Linked DNA regions of Drosophila melanogaster. The protein of the gene in region 1 purifies or fractionates together with the protein of each later gene. This does not show direct contact. Each region holds a gene or a part of one and is shown on either strand. Other genes may lie near its edges.

Region 1 (8,126 bases):
TCTTGGCTTCCGATTCAAACGGAGGCACTACCAGTAGGTCGAAGTTTGGAATGGGAGTTTTCTGATTAAAAATAAGCAAACAGATTATCATACAGGAATCTGAACACAAACATTATGCATCACTCACATGGAGATTCTGAACGGGATTATCCTTGCCCGCCAGTCGAAAGGCCACCTCGCAAACTTGCCAAATGTTTGGTCGCTTCTCCATATCGGGTTCCAACATATATTTAATCAGTTGGTGCATGCCCTTCGAGTACTTTGAGGAGTCTGGAATGGAAAACTGTCCATTCTGGATAGCCAAAGTGCTCTCCCCAAATGGCAAGGAAAAGAAGCACAGCTTATAGAGCATGCAACCCAGTGCCCAGATGTCCGCCTTTGTGGTTATGCTCTTGCCCCCGTACAGGTCGATCATCTCGGGAGCCCGATAAGATAGAGTGGTGTACTTTTGGATCTCTTCCTGCACCACGGTGACTCCGTGCTGTTGAGGATTTAACGTCTTGGCCGTTGCCGATCCGAAGTCGCAGAGTACGAAGTTGCCCGCGTCCGTTTGCAGAATGTTCTCCACCTTAAGATCCCGATGGATAATCGGAGTCTGACAATAGTGCAATCGAGAGACAGCCTCGGCAATATCACAGAAGATGTTGAGCACCTCTGGCTCCGTGAAGCCAACGTGCAATCTGTGGCGAATTTCATTGGATTACATTCGAATTCCGCAATCAAATGGACTACATTTTTAGATTCACTTCGTTTACCTCGCATTCATCATGGCCAGCATGTGATGCTTGCAATAGGGCATCAGGAGTAGCACCTCGCACACCCCGTTTCCCGTGGGCGTGATGCTGGAGTCCACATAACCAATGATGTTTTTGTGCCCACTCAGGTTGCTCTGGGGGAGTGAAAGTGATTGCCCTATTAGATTAGGTTTGTTTGTCCCGATTTATTTACTCACCGCAATCTGTATCTCCCGCTTGGCTACGTTCAGATCGTGCTCATTGTTGACGTACATGCGCTTCAGGGCGTACTTGGTCGCCGAGGAACTGCCTCCGCCGTTGCCCCTTGCCAAAAAGACCATGGCGAAACCACCTGCGTGAGTTTTGAAGAGATGGGGAAGAGAAAAACAGAGCATTAGAGCATGGGGTAAGTTGACGGGCTAGACATCCATAACAGCTGTCAGCTGTAAACAACATAGCATATTTGAATGGGGGAGGAAACTGCGAGTAAGCTAAACCCGATGAATACCCTGTTATTGTATATTCATAATACATATATACGAATATTTTATTTTATATGGCAGGAAGTAGCTAATTAATAAACTAATTTGTTTATTAAAAGGAAATATGTGTCACATTTTTATAGCACACGTATCTTTGGCCATTCCTTCCCACATAATTTATGCCATATATCTACGTGATAATAATGGAATTTCTTTACTATAAACATTTCACGTTCACAAATATCCCCCCGTGGTGTTAAAATAGTAGAGGGTACCCGAATTCGAGTGATAGCAGTTACTGTCTGGCCATGGAACGATTTACACATGTTTTGCCTAACAGGCCATTTGCATGAGGTTTATTTCAGTTTATTGCAAATAGAATTTCAAGTAGAATGCCCCCACATTTCAGCCCTCTCCACCTGTCGCTTTACGCCACTTCAAAATGTACGATAAAAAGGCAACGCAATATAAACTAAACTATTGAAGGTCACGTACAGAAATAACAACAATAACATGCGACAATAACAATACTCAGCGGGGGAAGGCGGTGGGGCGGCAAAATAAAAAGATAGGAACAGTGGTCACTAAGAAAAAAACATAAAAATATATATTAGATATAAAATGAAATGATATTAGAAAAAAAAATGATCTCAATACATTAGATGCATAGACGATGCAACGATTAGGAGAATGTTTTAATATTGAAAATATTTATGGAACATTTGCTGTAAATGCACACACCATTTCTCCCTGTGTAGGCGATAGAGAGAAGTGAATAGCGGACCAGCAAATGTAACCATTTTTGCTCGACTTTGTGAAATTATGGCGTCAAATGTTAATCAATGCTGAAGGTTGCAACAGCAACAAATCAACATTGGCAAAAAGTACAGCAACAACATCCAGTAATAATAGTATGAAAAGCAACAATAACAATGCACAATTGTAGCGATGCGAGAAAACGCGAGAAGGCAATTCGAAACGCAAACGAGGGTAGAAAATACGTCTGAAGGGGCGTCAACTGCAAGGTGGGCAGTAAGCGGTTAAGGGTGGGGGCTGAGGGGTTAAGGCGGGAAAGCTTCATTCGTTAACCGTTTGTCGCTTAGTCATTTGTAATTGTTGTTGGCTGCTCAAAAATCGAATCAAAGAAAGCAGGTAAATATTGAAGGTGATTAAGCACAGTGTTACTTTGGAAGTATCCAGCATATCGAGCAGTTTAAACTTGGCTATACGCGCATTTTATTCATTGAGCATCTGCAAAAGACTCTATTTATTTTTTCTCTTTCTTAAATGAAATACCAATAGTTACGTTACTGGATTAAATGAATTAATAAATAATATATAATTTAGTTTATAATTTGTTATACTAATTCAATAACTTTAACCAAATAACCGTGTTCGTCAAACGCTCCGCCTTTTTAATTACAGGGTATGCCCGACAACAGCTGACTAATTGCCAGCGGCGCCAGCGCAGCGCAAAACAAAATTACGAATCGAGTCCGCTTGCCAAAAGTATAAAAAGTAAAAAACACTACGTAATGGCTAAAGGAAAGGTGGCGAATGGCTGGCCAGGCGGTGGGTGAGCAATCGTTAGATGATCAAATGTTGGGCGGAGGGTACTGGTGCCAGGCCAACAAGGAGGCACTTGCACTGCAGGATGATGTGGAGTGGAGCACTCCGCATTTCAAGGACAAGGACACAGCACAGGCGATTTCCTTAGGGGCGAACTTTGCCATTTAGCTCGGCGAAAGGTGAAAAACGGAAGACTGTCGGAGACAGTCGGCTGATGAGTGTTGGTCTTGCCGCTTCATTGGCTAAATTAACATAATTGATTCAATTGATTTGTGGCCATGTGTAGTGGCTACGGGAATTCAATGGGTATTCCATGGAAAAACCAACCAGAACCGTAACTGTGTTTGTACAGTCGGGTTTCTCTAACGCGGACACCCATTTGTCACAATAGAAATGCTGGCATTTCTGGTTTTGGCAAAAATAAACTCTTTAAAGACTGACATAAATTTGGACGAAATATCTGCACGCCATTAGAGAGCCGAGTTATGGACATAAATATGTAGTTCTATGCCAAGGGCAAAATTGCAGTTCAATTAGTTGGAATTTAGGTTACAAACCAGTATTTAGTATTCATAATTAATGAAATAATTTAAAATGTTTTACAGTTTTATTAAAAGATAATATATCAAAGTCAGATTTTAGCTGTTTTGAGTTTAACATCTTATACAGAAATTATTGGGAGTAATTTATTTGGATTTAATCGGAAATGCGACAAGTGGTGTCCCCAATTATGGAGGATACGCAGCTGATTTTTATGCTCTCTAGCGCTTTGAGTACGCCCCACATTTGGGAGTTCTCGCGCTGAAGGGGTTTATCTAATCTGTGACGAGGGGCGAGACCGAAAAGCGGACGGCAGGCTACTGCCCACCTGTAAATCAGGCAGGTGATAAGCATAATCGCGGGCGACGTGTTGTAGGTAGGGGAATGGGAGCACATATATAAGAGTGTATATATAGTCGTCTACCTTCTGCCAGGACATCCTCCACGGTGACCGTGACGCGTCCCACTGTGAAGACCTTGCCCACGAAGCTGTTCTTCTCGTTCGAGGACGACGAGCTGCTGCTGTTGGGCGGATTCTCCAGTCGAGAGTTCTCATTGCGCTCGAACTTAGACAGGATTTTCTTCATTTTCCCCCGATTTTCACTAGAAAATGTTTACTGCCCCAGCAGCACAACACACACACACACACTCGCGAGCACACACGCACACTAGCTAACACGGTCTTAATTGCCTGCGCGTAGGTGTTTTTGGCAATTTTTAATTTTGCGAGGGCGGCTGACGGTGGGCGGGGCGTCGGTGCCGCTGGCCAATTAATCCACTTTCGAGTCGTATCGGCTAGCTGAATAAAGCTATTCTGCGCACTTTGTGTTTTTGCATGCACACACACAATGCAGTGGAAAAAGAAAGTTGTTCGATTTTCCTGCTGCTCTCGAGTTGTTGGGCCAGTGTGACCAGGGCGCTTTGCTGCAGTCAGATGCGCAACCCGCGGCTGGTGCAGCCGCCTATCGATATATAGATAAGTTGGTTGCAATCTCGAAATTCTGAAAACAAGGAAATCCCCGTTTACAAAATAGGTTTTATGATAACAATTTTTTGTAATTTGATCCAATTTAAAAAGATAATATGGTTCTACTTTCAATAAAACATATAGCTACAGTTGCATTAAACTATCGCGCAGTTTTAATTAGCTATGCTGCCAACATCGTGTTTCCCTTATCAATATGTTATCGATTGTGCTGGTGCAATTGTAAACAAGCATCTCTAGCAAATGGTCGCTAAATTCGCAAAATTGTAGTTTGCTGGGATAACAATGATAAATACGGCCAAGTACTTTGCTCTTCTAGAGAGTTTAAGGTTTAGTAAAGCTCTAGGTAAATTGGTTAACATCATATAATAATTGTAGTATCCCTAATACTAATATTTCGACAGCAAATACGGCGAATAACTCAGGGACTGCCGAAGCCTTGGAAATCAACCTGCGAATTTTGGAAAAATATGCTAAACTCGAGATTGGTCAGCAATTGCATGAGCTGTGCCTGGAATATCAGTTAACAGACGATCACGAATCTAGTATTGATCCCGATTCGGATCGTACTATATGCTATATAATAAGATTGCAACATGTGCTACATTCGATCATGAGGAACATTAATTTCCACAGCGACGCCAAGGAGGATCTTATTTCGGTAGCGCACCTGAAATTGTGTATCCAGGCTTCCCAAGAATTATCATATTACTCGCTTCGATGCCAGCTACATGAGGATTTCTACAAGTCGCCCATCTTTTGTGAGGCTCAGGGGAAAATCAAAGCTAACTTTTCATTGATGCTTCTAAGCATTCAGTTCTTTATTAATCTACTGCATATTCGACAATACCACATAGCCAACTCGATGGAGCTGGTGCAAAGGGATCTACTGGCGGCCATTGTGAGTCTACGTGTGCAGCAAGACTCTCCACTGCTGGATAAGGCTATAGCCTACCTCTGGCAATATGAATCCAAAGCAGATTTCTTTCGCAACATCTTGCTTTTTAAAGCTACGACTCTCTGCCCAACTCTGGCCCAATTATTGCACCGTCAACTCTTAGGAAAGCTTCACTTACCCCAAGGATTTGCTAGTCTTGTTGAGGCCCTGCATCAAAATCCCAATGTGAATTCTTCCAGAAATGCGGAAATTGTGGCTAGTATTGTGGCCAGAAAAGGATTTTCTCAGTTAGCGCAAGAGAAGATGGTTCTCCAGGTGCTAGAATATTGTAAGTTCTATCTGCAGAATGCGGACAAAATGTGCGCCGGTGTCCTATCGCTCAGAAGACTTTACGATTTAAGTGATACAAATCAAAAGCTGATAAAAGAAATATTATTCAAACACTGGGAAACGCTTTGTAACCCAGAAGACATTATTAATGGCCTTATCTTAATGGATCACCAGGAACTGTGCAATCGCATTCTCTTATGGCAGCATCTCTTTTGTTCTTCAACCGTAGCTTGCTTACCCAGTAATCTACTCGTTCCCTACCTTCCTTTGCTGCTCCAACTCTACGATGGCCTTCCAATGGAATTACCGGCGTCATCGCAGATTTCTGCCATTATTTTGCGTTGTCTGGACAACAGAGAAATGAAAAACGAATTACCTGCGATACTCCAGAAGCTGTTTAAATGGGAAATTGAGAAGGAACCTCCTTGGAAGTGTTTAAACCCACGCATTATAATCCTGCCTTCCATGAACACAACTCAAATTCAGGTTAAAGTAGCTCACAAAGATCATCTAGCAGATCACGATATGGGCAGAATATTGCCCGGTCTACTCACATCAAGCTCTCATCATTCCCTCACCTGCAAAGTTTTCCTCTCTCTTCTGGGCTTCATAGCTAAACAGATAAATGATAAATCTTCAGCCAGCGTAGATTTTATTTCATCAGAAGCAGAGCTCAAAGACTTTCTGCACTCCAAATATCAACTGAAGCTAGATTTGCTCATTGCTTTAAACCAAATGGTAGCCCACCAACCATTAAGAGCTCAGCTATCACAACATACCAAGGAGCTTCTACATATACTAAAAGACTTGCTTGTCCACCGATCTAGAGAGCAAGATACCACGGATCAGATCCTACTTCTCGTTCTAAACCTCTTGCAGGAAATTCTTGAGGGCAGTGAGAATATTCAACTTTCAGAGGCCTGTAAGGAACTGAAAGAACAATTGCACCTGTTGGGTACTCGATCTTCCAACCCTCTTATCCAGCAATCTGTAAAATCATTGCTTACAATAATTCACGGCGCATGGCGACCAAGTGAGGCTGTTAAAATACAACCTTTTCAAAGAGCTCGGTCCTTGATAGAGGAAAAACAATCCCACATGCAAGTGTATGGAATTCAGATGATGATTGATTTGCTGAAAAAAAGAGATCCTGCTACCTTAGCGCAGGGTCAACTTATCATAGCGTTAGCCCTGACCACTCTCAAGGATAAGGAATCCTACACCTTCTTAAATTGTGTTCGGCTCTTTGTGTCGCTTGTTCATGTGATGGAGTCCGATGTGCTGGACAAATTGAGTGATGAGTACCTATCAGAGACGGCTCACTTAGACTACCGCCTCGTAGTGGGTGAAGCTATTCTGAAAGTCGCTCAGGAGTTGGGTAAGCAATGTTCTACACAGCTAAGAATAACTCCTAAACTTTCATACTAATCCCATCCAGGTCCTCTTTGCTTTCGATACAAGGCTGTTCTTCTCAACTGCTTCATGTACGGCTCCCGGTCTCCTGTTCACGAATTCCGGATGTCAGCCTTTGCCAATCTTGCCCAGCTTTGTCGCCTTTTGGCCTTTCAAGTGCAGAACTTCTTCCACGAGTTACTCCAACTTGTTAATAGCGAATTAACCACCGGAGGATATGTTCCCTCTAAGCGTGCAGCAGTCCTGGTCTTAGCTGAACTATTAAACGGCATGGAGAACCTTCTGGATTACCAGGAAATGTTACTCCCCATTTATCGCCTTTTAAAAGCGATTGAAGCGGATGAATCCTGTGATCCTCAAATGCGTCAGCATGCTGCAAACGGTCTGAAAATTTTAAACAAAAAGTGCACAAAACTGATACAATCTGCCTTGGAGGAGAAATCATTACAGAAGCAGATTAAGGTGTTGGGCATTAAGGACGATGATTCACCTCAAAGAAGAAACCGACATATACTGGAACTGAATTAAAGGCTATCTTAGAAACCTACACAAGTTTTAATTTTGTTTTATACACAATAGATCAATATTACAGTTTCGAAAAGAAATGCGATAGTGGCGAATCAGTACAGACATTACTGACATAAAGGCAGAACAGAAAATAGGACTTAGTTTTGGACTTTGGTTACATTATTTGGGATAGAGGCATCACTTGCCGATAGAGAACTCATTCTCGATCTTGTCTGCGATCATCTTGGCAATGGCCAAGCTACTAGTAGCGCCCGGCGATGGGGCGTTTCTGCAGTGAAGCACTCGCTTGGCTAGCGCTCCCGATCCTTGTCCGCGATCGAAAACAAAATCGTCCACCAGATTGCCATCCAGATCCATTGCTTGGGCACGTACTCCAGCGGGACCACGCTGGATATCGTACTCCGTAATATCCGGGATGTACTTCTGCAACGCCTTGATCTGCAGGTTAATGAACCACGATTTGGACATCTCGCTGAGTCCGAAACCGATGTACTTGCTCGCCATCTTTACGAAGCCCGGATAGCGCAGGGCGTCGAAAAGCTCGAAAAGATTAATGTCACCCCAGCTGGAAGAAGTGAAGTGTCAGACAAGTTTAAATATGAGCTCTAAGAAGACTTACGTGTAACCTTCGCGTTTCAGAGCCAGAA
Region 2 (7,975 bases), about 19 Mb from region 1:
GGCAGCGAGAGCGAAGAAAAATCAATAGAAATTTTCATTTTAGTGAATTGCCCTGCACTTGGTAATAGTTAACAAACAAATTAGCGGCAAATCAGCGAGGCGAAGCTCCAGCGAGTTGGAGTTCCATAAAGTGCAACACGCAGGGTCAAACATTCCGCAGCCAACACCCCGGATTCCGATTCCAAGCGAAGCCAACTTCAGAAGTCAGAGATTACTCTCTCTGCTCCGCCACAGAAATTCCGCAACGCTAACCGATTTTGTCCGCTGGCGAGTAAAAAAAATCGGAAAAGTAAGCTCAAAAAAAAAGAACAGCTAACATACGCCCATTAATGTTTTTGGAGGCTTCTTCGGTGCTTTTTTTTTTGGGCAAAACGCCCTCGTCATCCAGCGGTGAAAAAAGTGACGTGACATGAAAGCAAAGAAAGAAGAGAACCGAAGAGCGCAGTGAAAAACAGAAAATAAAACGAAACGGAAAGCAAAGTAAAAAGTATACTACAGAAACAAAAGCCGGTGGTCGCGCAAATCCAAATAATAATGCCCAAGTGCACATCGACTTCGCCAGGCGATAAAAAGTGGGCGAGCGAGGTCACAGAATCTTTATCAACGGGCAAAACGCTGCCAAGTTGAAAATAAATCGGTTGCCAAAAATGCGGGGGTACACTCTACTTCCACCAGAAAATGTCAAAGTTCGCCAGCCATTGGGTGCACTGGCCGGAAAATCAATCACGTAGTCCACTATTTACCGTTTAAAAGTTCTGAGTTTATTAAACATTGGATTTTTTATACATATAAATCGTTATCAGCGCTTGATGCTCAGTGAAATGTGTGGTGCATACATATTTTGTGGCGTTTTCGTTATCAAAAGTAAAACTGCAATACGGACTTTCAAAATAGAAGCTGTATCAATGTGTTGGCATGCACAATAAGCTACTCCCTGGCTAAATACAAATTGTTATCCAAAATACCTTTTGTTTGAATAATATACGTTTGTTAACACAAATACTAAAACGTAATCATAATACTAAGTTTTCCCATTCCCACAACCCACAATAAATAGAGTATCGTTTCCCCTTTCAGGTCCCAAGGAACGGCCGAGATCCAATCGAAGTAAAAAGAGCTTTGCAGAACCAGAGCGGAGAGCAACTATATATCTTAGGGTCCGACGTCGAGTTCGAGCGATAAGAACGCCTCGAGACTCGGCCGCCATCCATTGACGATTTTCTTGCGCCCCCAGTTTGCATAAAACCAGCGAAAATTAACAAGCTAACTACCATGGCGCCGGTGCGGGGGGATGGCATGAGAGGCCTGGCCGTCTTTATATCGGATATAAGGAACTGTAAGTGCAGATCTCTTGGGTAACCAGCATTAAATCCAATTGAGCGGGTCGCAACAAGAGATTTTCCATAGGGGCGGAATCAGCGCCATTACTTGATCAATTACCAGGAGCAGCGCACTGACAAAAACGTGGGGCGGTACAAAAACGCAGGAACAGTAAGCTCTCTGCCAGATGAATTACAAAATATTGGCTACTTTTCTTCTCCATTCCTATGTAAATGTTTTCGTAGTCGTTACATTAGAAAGATATGAGAAAGTTATATATATAGTTATATATATGGGTACAACACAGCAAATAGTTATATCAATGTGAATCGGTTGCCTCTCAGTATTAATAAATACTTACAATTTTGATAGTTTGATGACTTACTGTAGTACTTCGAAGCGTGCATATGTGTGTGCGCAAGAGTCCGACGCTTCACTGTATGGTATTATTATCACAGCTCGTTGTTTGCTGTATGCTCGGTTACTAGTTTCTGGTTTGTGGACAACATATAGGAGAGCAGAGGTTCCGCTGCGGATCGGTGACTGGTACTAATTGACGCCTATGTGAATCGGAGAAAATCCGCGACATGGAGAGAGCTGAAGGGTGTGAAGTCGTCTCTCCGATCGATCAATCGCGGGGTGGAAAGGAAAGCGAAGCTTCCGCAGACGAATCACTGTTGTTTTACTGTGAATCTCCCTTATACCCGCATAAGACACAAATTTCTATACTAATATTCACCCATTTGCCCACAGGCAAAAGCAAAGAGGCCGAAGTCAAACGCATAAACAAGGAGTTGGCCAATATACGAAGCAAATTTAAAGGAGACAAAACCCTCGACGGCTATCAGAAAAAGAAATATGTCTGTAAGCTGTTATTCATATTTCTCCTCGGCCATGACATCGACTTCGGGCACATGGAGGCGGTCAATTTGCTGTCCTCCAACAAATACTCAGAAAAGCAGATTGTGAGTACCCCAAAAAATTGCTTCAATAATCATTTGTTTATTTAGCGAGTCGAAATAATTGAACTGAAAGCAGACGACTCTGCTTGTGGGAAAAGGGAATTTCATTCAATTAAATTTAACTTGTCGTTGTTTGAAGTTTGATAAAAATAATTAAAAAATTGGTTTTTTAAATTTAATGTTACTGATAAAATCTGTTTTTTGAACTTTAGGGTTACCTTTTCATCTCAGTGTTGGTGAACACCAACAGCGACCTTATTCGGCTGATCATCCAATCTATAAAGAATGATTTGCAGTCGCGTAATCCTGTGCACGTTAATCTGGCACTACAATGCATTGCCAACATTGGAAGTCGGGATATGGCCGAGTCCTTTTCCAACGAAATACCCAAGCTACTCGTCTCGGGCGACACCATGGACGTGGTGAAGCAGTCGGCGGCGCTATGCCTGCTCCGCCTGTTCCGCTCCTCGCCGGACATCATTCCCGGTGGTGAGTGGACTTCGCGCATTATCCATTTGCTCAATGATCAGCACATGGGAGTGGTCACAGCGGCCACCTCGCTGATCGACGCCTTGGTGAAGCGCAATCCGGACGAGTACAAGGGTTGTGTTAATTTGGCTGTTTCACGCTTATCCCGGATCGTAACAGCCAGCTACACGGATCTTCAGGTACGATTTAATGCATTTTTTAAGGTAAGAAACTTCTAATTACTAACTAAATTCGCATTGCAGGATTACACATATTACTTTGTGCCGGCTCCATGGCTATCGGTGAAACTTCTGCGATTGCTGCAAAACTACAATCCAGTGACCGAAGAGGCCGGTGTGCGGGCCCGCTTGAATGAAACTTTGGAGACGATTTTGAACAAGGCGCAAGAGCCGCCAAAGAGTAAGAAGGTGCAGCACTCTAACGCAAAGAACGCCGTGCTCTTCGAGGCCATCAACCTGATCATTCACAGCGACAGCGAGCCGAACCTTCTTGTCCGCGCTTGCAACCAGTTGGGACAGTTCCTTAGCAATCGGGAGACCAACTTGCGCTATCTGGCTCTGGAGTCCATGTGCCACCTGGCCACATCGGAGTTCTCGCACGAGGAGGTGAAGAAGCACCAGGAGGTGGTCATTTTGTCAATGAAAATGGAGAAGGACGTGTCCGTGCGCCAAATGGCGGTGGATCTTTTGTATGCCATGTGTGATCGTGGTAATGCCGAGGAAATTGTTCAGGAGATGCTCAACTATCTGGAGACGGCCGACTACTCTATTCGTGAGGAAATGGTGCTCAAGGTGGCCATTCTTGCCGAGAAGTACGCCACGGATTATACCTGGTAGGTGTTCTCTTTTTTAGCTTGTGCTTAAAAGTCTATGTGCTTTATGACAACCGCTATATTACCAGGTATGTGGACGTTATCCTCAATCTAATTCGCATTGCTGGCGACTACGTGTCTGAGGAAGTATGGTACCGCGTCATTCAGATCGTGATCAATCGCGAGGAGGTTCAAGGCTATGCCGCAAAGACTGTTTTTGAGGCGCTACAGGCCCCTGCCTGCCACGAAAACATGGTTAAAGTGGGCGGCTACATCTTGGGCGAGTTTGGCAACTTAATCGCCGGAGATTCCCGCTCAGCACCACTGGTACAATTCAAGCTACTGCACTCCAAGTACCACTTGTGCTCGCCGATGACCCGGGCCCTTCTTCTGTCCACGTACATTAAATTTATCAACCTCTTTCCGGAAATTCGTACCAATATCCAGGATGTGTTCCGCCAGCACAGCAATCTTCGATCCGCAGATGCGGAACTGCAGCAGCGAGCTAGCGAATATCTCCAGCTTAGCATAGTGGCATCGACAGACGTTTTGGCCACCGTCCTGGAGGAGATGCCATCGTTCCCGGAACGCGAGAGCTCAATTTTAGCAGTGCTAAAGAAGAAGAAGCCCGGCAGGGTGCCGGAGAACGAAATTCGCGAGTCGAAGAGCCCGGCACCCCTGACTTCTGCAGCGCAGAACAACGCCCTTGTGAACAATTCACATAGCAAGCTGAATAACAGCAACGCAAATACGGATCTGCTTGGATTAAGCACTCCGCCATCAAATAATATTGGCAGTGGTAGCAATAGCAACAGTACGCTCATTGATGTTTTGGGCGACATGTACGGCAGCAATAGTAACAACAACTCAAGTGCCGTGTACAACACGAAGAAGTTTTTGTTCAAGAACAATGGTGTTTTGTTTGAGAACGAAATGCTGCAGATCGGTGTGAAGAGCGAGTTTCGCCAGAATTTAGGACGATTAGGCCTTTTCTACGGCAACAAGACACAGGTTCCCCTGACAGTAAGTAAATTAGTTTCTGAAACATTCCAGGCATTACATTGCTCTCTTTTCAGAACTTCAATCCTGTGCTGCAATGGTCTGCCGAGGATGCGCTTAAGCTGAACGTGCAGATGAAGGTGGTGGAGCCAACCCTGGAGGCCGGCGCCCAGATCCAACAACTGTTAACCGCGGAATGCATCGAGGACTACGCCGATGCGCCAACAATCGAGATCAGTTTCCGCTACAACGGCACCCAGCAGAAGTTCAGCATTAAACTGCCATTGAGCGTTAACAAATTCTTTGAGCCTACCGAAATGAATGCGGAATCATTCTTTGCACGATGGAAGAACCTTAGCGGGTATTTAATAAGGTGTCTTTTGATAATATTCAATATTAATTGTGCATTTGTAGTGAACAACAACGGTCACAGAAAGTGTTCAAGGCTGCACAGCCACTGGATTTGCCCGGAGCCCGCAACAAGCTTATGGGCTTTGGAATGCAACTGCTGGACCAAGTGGATCCCAATCCAGACAACATGGTCTGCGCGGGCATCATTCATACGCAATCGCAACAGGTGGGCTGCCTTATGCGATTGGAGCCGAACAAGCAGGCTCAGGTGAGTAATTTATTGTTAGATACTTGGAACATAATGCCTATTGCCTATTTCTCAAATTATCAATAGATGTTCCGACTGACAGTTCGGGCAAGCAAGGAGACCGTAACTCGGGAAATCTGCGATCTGTTGACGGATCAATTCTAAGCCACAACAATCATGGACGGGGTGATGGAGACGGAGCTGCGAAGCCATGGAGCAACGGCAACCACTTTACAATGCACAATCCCAATTACCTAGAGAAATATCAAAGCATACAAGGCCCTAGAACTGTACGCGTTTAGTTATGCCAGGCACACTCCTACACTCTTCTTAAGTACCTTTCATCTTCTCCAACAGCGAGTTGATTTACCCACTGTCCTGTTTATTTGAATATTATGTTTGTAAACCTACTCTTACTTTAACCATTTTCAATTTCATGTTCCCAAACTTTTTTGTAAATGTTAAGCTCAAAAAGTTCATAGTAGAGAAACGAGAGAACATAATTAGATTATGTTTATATGTATGACAAATTATATATTGTTGCATCATTTCGAGGCAGTAGCAATTGGATATTATATACCTATATACAGATCTACATACATTCATACAAACCACATACATATACCTAGTATATACGTCGTTGTAATAAAAACAGAAATCAATATAAAACAAAAGAGAAAAGCTTGCAAGGGAATTATTAAGATGCCTGCAAATGACAAGTATGCAAATCGTTATCTAAATATTTATACATATATTGATTATTGCAATTGCATCTAAACGAAATTCATGTTTAATGTTTTTGATTGTAAAATCCAATGGAGGACCGCAAGAGCAGAAATCTCATTAAATAATAGACAAATAATTAGACAGATCCACAAAATCTCCTTGATTAATCACTGTTGAGCAACTTAAAATTTATTAACGATAGGAAAAATTTCCCTATTGAAGAAAACGAAGCAAAAATTTCAGAATATTATTATACTTATAGCAGAATTTTTTGAATGATTCTGGGTAATATTACGTTTCGTTTGTGTACCATAGATAAACTGAGAGGGGCTACTTCATGTTGTGCCGCTTCCTGAAGAGAAAGCGATCTTTGTAGCACCAAGTATTAACTAATCTGAAGCAGCAGCAGCAGTAGCCGCCAGCCATAAATCTGCTAATGACTCTCTTCAAATGCGAGACGGCTGCCGATAAAGAACAAAGAATTGTAAACTAAAATATACACTATATAGATACTGATACTGAAAACCGATAATGGAAACTGACATCAAATACTTATTACCATTAAACTCTCGATCCTTTCGTAAAAACCAATGTGCATGACAGCTGGAAATTTAGGCATTTCCAAAGTGCAATAGTTAAATGTTACAAAATTCCACACAAATTCCATTTAACACTCACAGACAAAACAAAAGCAACTGCAAGAGCAAGAAAACCAAGCCACAACTACATATAGCAAGTGCAGGAATTTAACTGTAAACGTAAACCAATATGTATTTAAATAAATATAAATTGAAACCATTTGAAAGGTGTTTAAAACGTTTCCACGATCTGGATATAAACACTTGGCAAGCACAGTTGTATTTTACGTATTTATCTTTATTACGATTAGCGCACGGGTTAACATAGGACCTAACAATAATTTTAGATTTAAATCAAATTTCATTTAACTTAAATCTCGCATTAATGTTGACCGAACTCAATTCGGTAACCAGATACTTAAAAGAGAATGGTATCTCGATCATCGATACAGAACTGTTATCCCCGCACAAGCGACACGTATCTGGCTGAGAAGAGAGTCCTCCCGTCTCATTTCGCTTAACAATGCGTTGCAGAGGCGCCAGAATGGAGCCGCACTTGTGGCACACCAGGGTGTGCGTCTTATCGGAGTTGTGGAACAAGCGATCCTGCAGCAGGAAAGCAGCACCGTGAGAGATCAAAGCATCCCGTTCCATCTCACCGAATCTGACGCCTCCACCGCGTTTTCTGCCCTTAATTGGCTGATGGGTCCGAGCTTCCACCGCTCCCGTAGATCTTACTTGCCACTTGTCAAACACCATGTGCCGAAGACGCTGGTAATGCACCACTCCAAAAAATATGTCAGCAGTCATCTCGCGGCCATCTACGCCGGAATACAGCCTCTCCGTTCCGTAGTAATTGTAACCCCCAGCCTCTAACATTTTGCCAAAATAGTCAATAGCAGTATTCTCTTCGGAGAAGCGAAAAGGCGTGGCATCGTAAACATTTCCGTGGATTGCAGCCCCCTTTCCCGCCATCGTTTCTATCATCATGGCGATTGTCATTCGGGAGGGGAAGCCGTGGGGATTGAACACAATGTCTGGAATCAAACCAGATTCCGTAAATGGCAAGTCCTCTGCAGGATATTTTTGTGAGCAAATTCCTTTCTGACCAGCTCTTGATGCAAACTTGTCTCCAATAGTGGCAGGTCGTGGAACCCTCAGTGTGATGGCCACCATTTTTTTTGGCGACAAATCGAAGCTTCCCAACTGTCGGATGCTCTCTACTATGCAATCCTCCTTTTCATCCATTTTCACAACTTTATAAGTGGCGACCTCTCCGTCAAAGTAACAGTACAGGGGCGAACCATAGCTCAATTTGGAGCCCGGATGTGGAAGACCATCCGTGTCAAGATGCTTTATTAACTCCGGCATGTGTGGATGCCTTGCGAAGTAACTGCTCTTCTTGTCCAACGTCAAAAACTTTGTTTTGTAGATACTTCCATAGGCGAATCCTCGTTCATAAGCAGCCTTGTTGATGATCATAGCATCTTCC

What was found. Proteins that work in one complex are often made in the same cells at the same time.
Region 2: the proteins of Nak (region 1) and AP-2alpha purify together in Drosophila melanogaster (affinity purification with western blotting; 3 studies listed by BioGRID, with this or other methods). This does not show direct contact.

Annotation. Positions count from the first base shown.
Region 1 is NT_033779.5:18,964,504-18,972,629, forward strand, and holds the start of Nak (Numb-associated kinase), read right to left. Parts: upstream 4,242-8,126; 5' UTR 3,913-4,241; coding exon 3,750-3,912; intron 1,087-3,749; coding exon 953-1,086; intron 890-952; coding exon 756-889; intron 681-755; coding exon 128-680; intron 62-127; coding exon 1-61. Other genes in the region: Tango6 (transport and golgi organization 6), read left to right, coding at 4,596-4,656, 4,715-6,916, 6,977-7,479; L2HGDH (L-2-hydroxyglutarate dehydrogenase), read right to left, coding at 7,657-8,044, 8,099-8,126.
Region 2 is NT_033779.5:406,757-414,731, reverse strand, and holds AP-2alpha (adaptor protein complex 2, alpha subunit), read left to right. Parts: upstream 1-1,846; 5' UTR 1,847-1,907; coding exon 1,908-2,007; intron 2,008-2,073; coding exon 2,074-2,285; intron 2,286-2,494; coding exon 2,495-2,950; intron 2,951-3,013; coding exon 3,014-3,603; intron 3,604-3,671; coding exon 3,672-4,605; intron 4,606-4,658; coding exon 4,659-4,942; intron 4,943-4,995; coding exon 4,996-5,200; intron 5,201-5,266; coding exon 5,267-5,344; 3' UTR 5,345-5,856; downstream 5,857-7,975. Other genes in the region: Polr1B (RNA polymerase I subunit B), read right to left, coding at 6,838-7,975. UniProt on the Drosophila melanogaster protein: Adaptins are components of the adapter complexes which link clathrin to receptors in coated vesicles. Clathrin-associated protein complexes are believed to interact with the cytoplasmic tails of membrane proteins, leading to their selection and concentration.